2 linked regions of the Coturnix japonica genome follow. The protein of the gene in region 2 interacts with the protein of the main gene of each other region in a pairwise test. Links are inferred from orthologs where the notes say so. Each region holds a gene or a part of one and is shown on either strand. Other genes may lie near its edges.

Evidence for each region. The genes of interacting proteins can lie anywhere in the genome.
Region 1: the proteins of BYSL (region 2) and STX11 interact in binary tests that used the Homo sapiens proteins (3 or more experiments, as listed by UniProt). The two-hybrid records come from large-scale screens. The link is inferred for Coturnix japonica from reciprocal best matches to the Homo sapiens genes BYSL and STX11.

What each region holds. Positions count from the first base shown.
Region 1 is NC_029518.1:41,283,861-41,286,793, forward strand, and holds the end of STX11 (syntaxin-11), read left to right. Parts: coding exon 1-196; 3' UTR 197-2,422; downstream 2,423-2,933. UniProt on the Homo sapiens protein: SNARE that acts to regulate protein transport between late endosomes and the trans-Golgi network.
Region 2 is NC_029541.1:4,735,862-4,739,867, reverse strand, and holds BYSL (bystin), read right to left. Parts: upstream 2,813-4,006; coding exon 2,427-2,812; intron 2,346-2,426; coding exon 2,207-2,345; intron 2,000-2,206; coding exon 1,866-1,999; intron 1,680-1,865; coding exon 1,519-1,679; intron 1,314-1,518; coding exon 1,211-1,313; intron 1,080-1,210; coding exon 731-1,079; 3' UTR 465-730; downstream 1-464. Other genes in the region: MED20 (mediator of RNA polymerase II transcription subunit 20), read left to right, coding at 2,811-2,920, 3,065-3,216, 3,381-3,634. UniProt on the Homo sapiens protein: Required for processing of 20S pre-rRNA precursor and biogenesis of 40S ribosomal subunits. May be required for trophinin-dependent regulation of cell adhesion during implantation of human embryos.

The sequences.
Region 1 (2,933 bases), on a different chromosome or scaffold from region 2:
TCACGAGCTCTTTCTGCAGGTGGCCCTGCTAGTGGAAGAACAGGCAGACACCTTTGACGTCATTGAGATAAACGTGCAGAATGTTGAGGACTATGTAGGAGAATCCAAAGAGCAAATAAAAAAAGCATTAGAATACAGAAGAAAACACCCCCTCATGACAATCCTCTGCTGCTGCATTTCGTTTTGCAAAAGGTGATGATCCTACTGAAGCAATCGTGGACCAACTTGAATGTTTTCAAATCAGATATTCTTTTCAGTGATTTTTCTTTAATGACAACGCCCATAATTGTGGGCACTGTTGTGCAGTTTGTTTTGTTTGGTAGCATGTTCCTAAATGTGCTGAAAAATTGCTCTATTTATGGCCTACTGGAAGTGTTGATAAAACTATTTTAAACTATTTTTAATTGAAATGCACTCTCTTACTGTAACTGGAGGTGCAAGGACTCAGAAGATTGCTGTGCAATGATACTTGTTCCAGTCAATAAAGAGGAATGAAGGACAGGCTAAGAGCCCTAGGGAAAACAACAAATTTCAAGAGGTTATTTTGTTCTTATGAGTCAAAGTGGTCTGCAGGCAGTGCATGCTTAATGCCTGTGGTGACAGAATACACCACAGAATCCAGAGATTGGAATTCTAACTAGTTTAGGGCCTGCTTGATGCAAATACTTGAAGAGACTTTTGCTCTGCTTGTGCAACAAAATACTGAGCCTGGTACCAGGAGCAGGATGCAAAACTAGCTTCTGTTTCAACTTTATTTCCATCTGTCACTGGTCTTAACAGAAGTAAGCTGCACCTTAAAGCGTAACAGGCATGTTTTGCTGTTTGTGTTCAGGTGACTGTTTGTCTCCATTTTGAGTGCCCACAACTGCAACACGGAGCCATCACATTGACTCTTTTTAAATTGAGCCACTGAAGATCTTAACTTAAAAACTGCCATACTTTTAGGTTTCAAATACATGCTTCTGCCAATTGATGTATCAGACAGCAAAAGAGATGCATGCAGATGCCCTCTGTGGAAGCACGTGTAAGAAGACAACAGCTGGGAGACAAAGAAAGCATTTTAGTCTCCTGTGGTGTCACATCCCCACAAGCAGTTTTAGTGGAAGGATTACCCCATCAACAGACTTTTAATAAGCATTGATTTTAATTTGGAGTTTTTATATGTATTTTAATAGCATGAAGGATTACATTTATTAACATTCAGTTTTACTGGTTTACAAAAGTTAAGGATTTTCTCTCATCATTAGAAAATCTCTTCTGGGGAAAGAAAAATCCAGGTGTATTCTTCATCTTCTGCACCTGAAGAATAAACAACATTTTTATGTCATTTCAGTGCCCTTTTCAAGCTTAAAAATAATCTTTCCTTTTGTGTAAGCTTGCCCATAGTTGGTTTGACAGATGAGGAGGGAATAGAACATTTGCAGCCCTGGAAACCACCGAGCATTGTCAGTGAAAGATGTATTCATAAGGTCTGGAGAGTGATTATAGCTGGAAGTTTTCCAACTCTAATATTTCTAGGTGACTTCCTGTTACACTGTGATCTATTGGTATCCTTTGAATTAATGCAGGACATTTTTTCAGAAGTTAGTGACTTTTTTTTTTTTTGTTTTAAATAATTCTTGTCGTATTTATAGCTGTTTTAACAACCATATTTAAGCATTTCAAGTATTTTGTATTTAGAATTTCTGTCTAAATGTGCAGAGTCATCTTGTCAATCACAATGAAGTTTTTCTCTTCTGAACTTTTGCACACTAATTTTATACGTTAAAAAAATACCCAAACATTTCGTACTGTTTATATTGATACATAACAAAACAACAATAGAAATTCAGCTTCCAAGCTTTTATATCCTTGTGGGAAATGCTTCTGTGCCAGATGAGCTTTTTACACAAAGAGAAGCTAAACAGATAACAGTTTTCAGATACAGGAAATCCCTTTAGCTGAAGTGCCTGTCTGTGGTAACATGGAAGCATGAAGAACACTGGTCTTCTAAACTAGAAGATATTTTGATATTAAGTGATGTCTTGATGATATCAGTATTACGCTTGCTTGAGAGTCTCTCAAACAACCCAGTATTCAAAGTTGAAGCGGGAGAAAAAAGAGCGGAGGTTGAGCTGGCACCGTCATTTGACTGCTTTGGTGCTACTCAAGAAGACAGAAGTCATTTATTCCATTTGTATTGACATTCAAGTCAGTGGAACTGCGTTTGTAGAGAAATACCCTAAGGAGCCAACAATACGTGGATGTAAATCAGTGGGAATTAAAATATGTATTTCATTTTGTCCTCATATTCTTAACAGTTAACAATGCTTTTGATAAAAATATGTACCTGCTTTTGATAGAAATATGTACCTGTGGTTTCCTTTTTGCACATGTGTATGTCCACAAAGGCAATAAAATATTTAGTAAGAAAAACTGAAAATGCAGAGTATCGTGCGTTGAGTCAACAGCTCTGAATAGTTGCTCACATAGTCAAAGTTTTGTTTAAAAGCTTCTGGACTAAAGTGTAAATTAATGGTAGAAGATTAATGTCTAAAAGAATGTCCTCAGAGTATTTGTTGCCATGGTAAATCAAGTATATTTTGTATTGAGATGGACTTATTATAATTTTTCCTATTGAAAACAAGTATGAGTTTCATACATTCTAAGACTATTCTCTGCTGCGAGAAAAAAATACAAATTTATTCTGACAGTTCTGAAATATCTTGATGATTTTGTTATTAGAGATATAAAGCTTATATTCAAATCTTCAGTCGGGTTTGAGGCACCGAGGAAGAGAGCAAGAGCATGAGGACAAAGGTAATTAAAGTCCTTGACTTCAGGCTGTTGCTGTGGGGAAGAAACTAAGAATCACTGAAATCAGTTTGGTACTCATAAAACCATCTCTCAGTTGCATTGTGAATTAGAGGCATTTGAAAAGCTACTCCCAGTAA
Region 2 (4,006 bases):
CCATGGGCCGTGATGCTTCCAGGAGCAAGGACAGGAGCTGGACATCTGCAGGAGCTGTAGTGTCCAGGTGAGCACCCAGGTAAGCGCGGAGCCTTGTGCGATGCCCCGCTGGATTTTACAGCAGAGGTGGCACTTCAAGGCAGCTGCCACGTGTGGGTTATGGCCTTGCCCCTTGCCCCCACCTCTCACAGGAAGATGTTTAACCCCAGCCCCTCTGCCCAACATCACAGAGGCTGCTTAATGCACAGCACAGTTGGGAACGTGCTCGCTGCTGACCAGAGCACAAGGAGGGCAGGGAGTTGCACAGCCCCTGGTCTCCTTTTGCAGCCGGGACAGCTGCAGCGCAGTGCTGCAAGGAGCCGCTGTTGGTGGCTTTGCTCTGCCCCCTGCTGGGGACAGGACGAGGGGAGGGGGACAGGGCAGGACGATGCACGGATGCAGCCACACAAAGATGCAACTGCAGGTCAGAGCTGCTCCAGGAAGGACCCAGCACGGGCTTTATTTTCCAGAACAGGAGCAGGACAAGCCCTACTGCTGTCCTGGGTGCCAGGGCTGTAGGGCTGCCCTGACACAAGCAGCGCAGGGAGCCCAGCCCAGCCCCGTGGTTACAGCACCATGAGCAGTGGGATCCCAGGGCTGGATGCTCCCAGACCCCTGGACGTGCTGCTCCCAGCTGTGCAGCAGCCCCCAGGAGCCAGGCCAGGCTGTGGTGCTTCCTTCCTTCCTCCCCTCACTCCATCACTGCCGGCTCCTGCCCCTCCACGTCCCGTGTCTTGGAGTTCACCAGCTCCCTGCGGATCTCGGCTGAGATCTGTGGGTGGCTGTGGAACTTGAGCAGCTCGAGCAGAGCTTCCTTCTGCTCCGAGGACAGGTCCTCCTTGTAGCGCTGGGCAAGAGCCAGGAAGCTCTGGTGCCACAGCACGGGCAGCGTGCGCTGGTCTGTGCGGAAGGCCAAGAAATGGAAGACCAGGGCATCCACCACACGGAACGGCAGCGCGTACTTCTTGTCGATGAGCAGCCGCAGGAAGATACTGTTGGCACCGTTATATGGCATCTCAGCAATCTTCAGCATGGCTGCACTGTGGGGACAAGGGGAGCAGCAGGTGAGGGCAGGGCACAAAAAGGACGGCTTTGAATCAGCCCTGAGCAAAGCTCCCCCACTCTGAGCTGTTGGATGGGCTGAGGGGCAGTGACTGCCCCAGTGCATTACCTGGAGTGCAGGACAGGGATGGAGCACTTGGTGAGGATGCTGCCGATGATAATGGCCTCCCGCAGTGTGCAGGTCCCCGATTCACACAGGGGGATGAGGATCCCTGTGGGGAGAGAAGAGCTGGGCACCACTGGTCATTGCAGCAGGCAGAGCTGTGGGGTGTGAGGCTCAATCTCTGCTCTCTCAGGGCACATTTAACCCAAGGAAATAACATCTCTGCATCATGGGCACCTTTCCACCTTCCTCCCCCTGCCCTGCCCTGCAGCAGGTTCCCAGGGGTGGAGTGCAGCCCTGCAGGGAGCCCCTACCTTTGAACCAGGCTCCTGGCTTGAACAGAGCCTTCTTCAAAGCCATGTAGAGGTGGAAGTTGAGGCGCTTATACTCAGCGATATCATCTCTGACCCGTGGCAGCAGCACCAGGTTGTAGAACCTCTGGGCCATCCTCTCCTTCAGGTTGGATGAAAATATCCTGTGAAATGCAAAGCATGAAGAGTGAGCTGTGACTCCAGAGCCATCCACCCCCAGCATCAGGATCCCCTCTGCTCCACAGGCACAGGGCAGGAGGAGCAGCTGTAGGACACACGATGGTATTTTGTCCATCTCGTTCCATTACAAGGAGAAAACAACAGCTCAGAGCACACTGAGCTGGTCCCACCTCGTGGCCTGGTACATCGCTGCTGCCGTCCACGTCTCGGGCTCCGTGATGTAGAGGATCTGCTCCCAGTTGGACAGGGCAGGAATGATTTTAAATGCCTTGGGGAGCTTCCCACTCCTGTATTTGGACAGCACCTTCAATGGAAGCAGAGGGGGAAGGGTTTGTCTCAAGGCTGTAAGCAACCTGTCTGCTCCCTGTGCAGCTCCACTGCGTGTGCTCACACAGCACGTATGTGCTCACAACACCCGAGGGACACAGCAGTGCTGTCTGCACTGCTCCGCCGGGAGCTGGGGGGTCCCACAAAGGTGTGTGTGGGGCCGGGGGGGCCGCAGTGCCCTCACCTCTCTGACGCCTCTGTACACCTCTATCACGCGGGGGTCGAGCTGGGGCATGGGGCGGCCCGACAGCTCGGACAGCGCCGTCTGCACCTCCGTCTGCTTCTCCGTGATCTTCTCCATGATCACATCCGCCAGCGTCCGCCTGGGGGGGCGGCAGGGGTCGGTGATGGGGAACCGGAGCTCCCCGTCCACCCCCCGCCCATTCCCACCCCTCCTCCGGTACCTGAGCGGCGCCGCGCGGTTCATGAACATCTCCAGGGCCTTCTCGTCCTCGGGATCCACCTGCACGTCCCCCCCGCCGCCCGTCCCGTCCCACTCCGCCGCCCGCTGCAGTGACGGCCACTCCTCGTCCTCATCGTCCTCCTCCGACCCGCGCCCGCTCGGGGCTGTCGGTGCGGGCGCCCCGGGGCCGTGCTCGGCCTCCAGCTCCTCCTGCTGCCTCCGGGCCTCCCGCAGGATGCGCCGGGACAACCGCGGCCCCACGTATCCGCCGTCCCGTTCCTCCGCATCGCGCCCCGCGTCCCGCGCCCGCCGGTTCCGCACCGTGGGGGCCGCAGCCCGCAGGATCTGCTCGTGCAGCGGCTCCGCCACACGCGCCGCCTTCGGCATGGCCGCAACAGCGACACGCGATCAGACGCGCCGGCGCCAGCACGGCCAGCCCCGCCCCTTCCGGTACCGGCACCGCCACTGCCGGGACGGAGCCATGGGGGTGACCTGGTGAGGGGCCGGTGGGGATGGGGTGATGGATGGGGTGATGGATGGGGTGATGGATGGGGTGATGGGGTGATGGGGTTGGGGCTGGGTTTGGGTTTGGGTTTTGTGGAGGCCCCGCGGCCATTTTTGCTGTTTGTCGCCCCGCAGCGTGACGCAGGTGCCCGTGTTGGAGGGTAAGAGCGTGCAGCAAACCGTGGAGCTGCTGAGCAAGAAGCTGGAGCTGCTGGGAGCCGAGAAACACGGAGCGTTCGGGGTGGACTGTGAGACGTATCACACGGCAGCCGCCATCAGCAGCCAAGGTGGGAACCCGGGGGGGGCGGGTGTAGTGCGGACATGGGGCATCTGCTGGGCTGGTCAGCATGGAGAGGAGAAGGCTGAGAGGGGCTGGGGGCGCTTATCAACCCATACGAATGTTTAAAGGGTGGGTGTCAAAGGAACGGGCCAAACGCTGCTTTTCTTTCAGGGCAGACGGGCAAACTGATGTACGTGATGCACAACTCCGAGTATCCCCTCAGCTGCTTCGCTCTGTTTGAAAACGGGCCCTGCCTGATCGCGGACGCCAACTTCGACACGTTGATGGTGAAGCTGAAGGGATTCTTCCAGAACGCCAAGGCAAACAAGATCGAGAGCCGGGGCACGCGGTACCAGTACTGCGACTTCCTGGTCAAGGTGGGAACCGTCACCATGGGCCCCAGCGCCCGCGGGATATCCGTGGAGGTGAGAATCACCTTTAAGGGTATGAAATCCAGGGCAGGGAAATCCCATGTTGGAGGCTTGGCTAGAAACCTTGAGTCCCCATCCCTTCCATGTATCATCTGTGTTACTCGTTGCTGGCAGGTTGTATTAATGCATTCAATGCCCTCCTGCTGCAGCTTTGGCTCTAAAGCTGCTTTCTCCTGGTCACAGAGCTCTGTGCTGTCAGTGCTGCCCCAGATCTGAGATGAGGTGCTGAAAGGTCTTGTAAAATCTGAGCATGTGTTTCCCTAAACACACAAATCCTATTAACTGGTCTGTAATTAATAATGATGGCGCATCTACCCAGGCAGGTGTTCCGAGCTAACAGGGATGGGATTGAGAAATGCCTTGGTT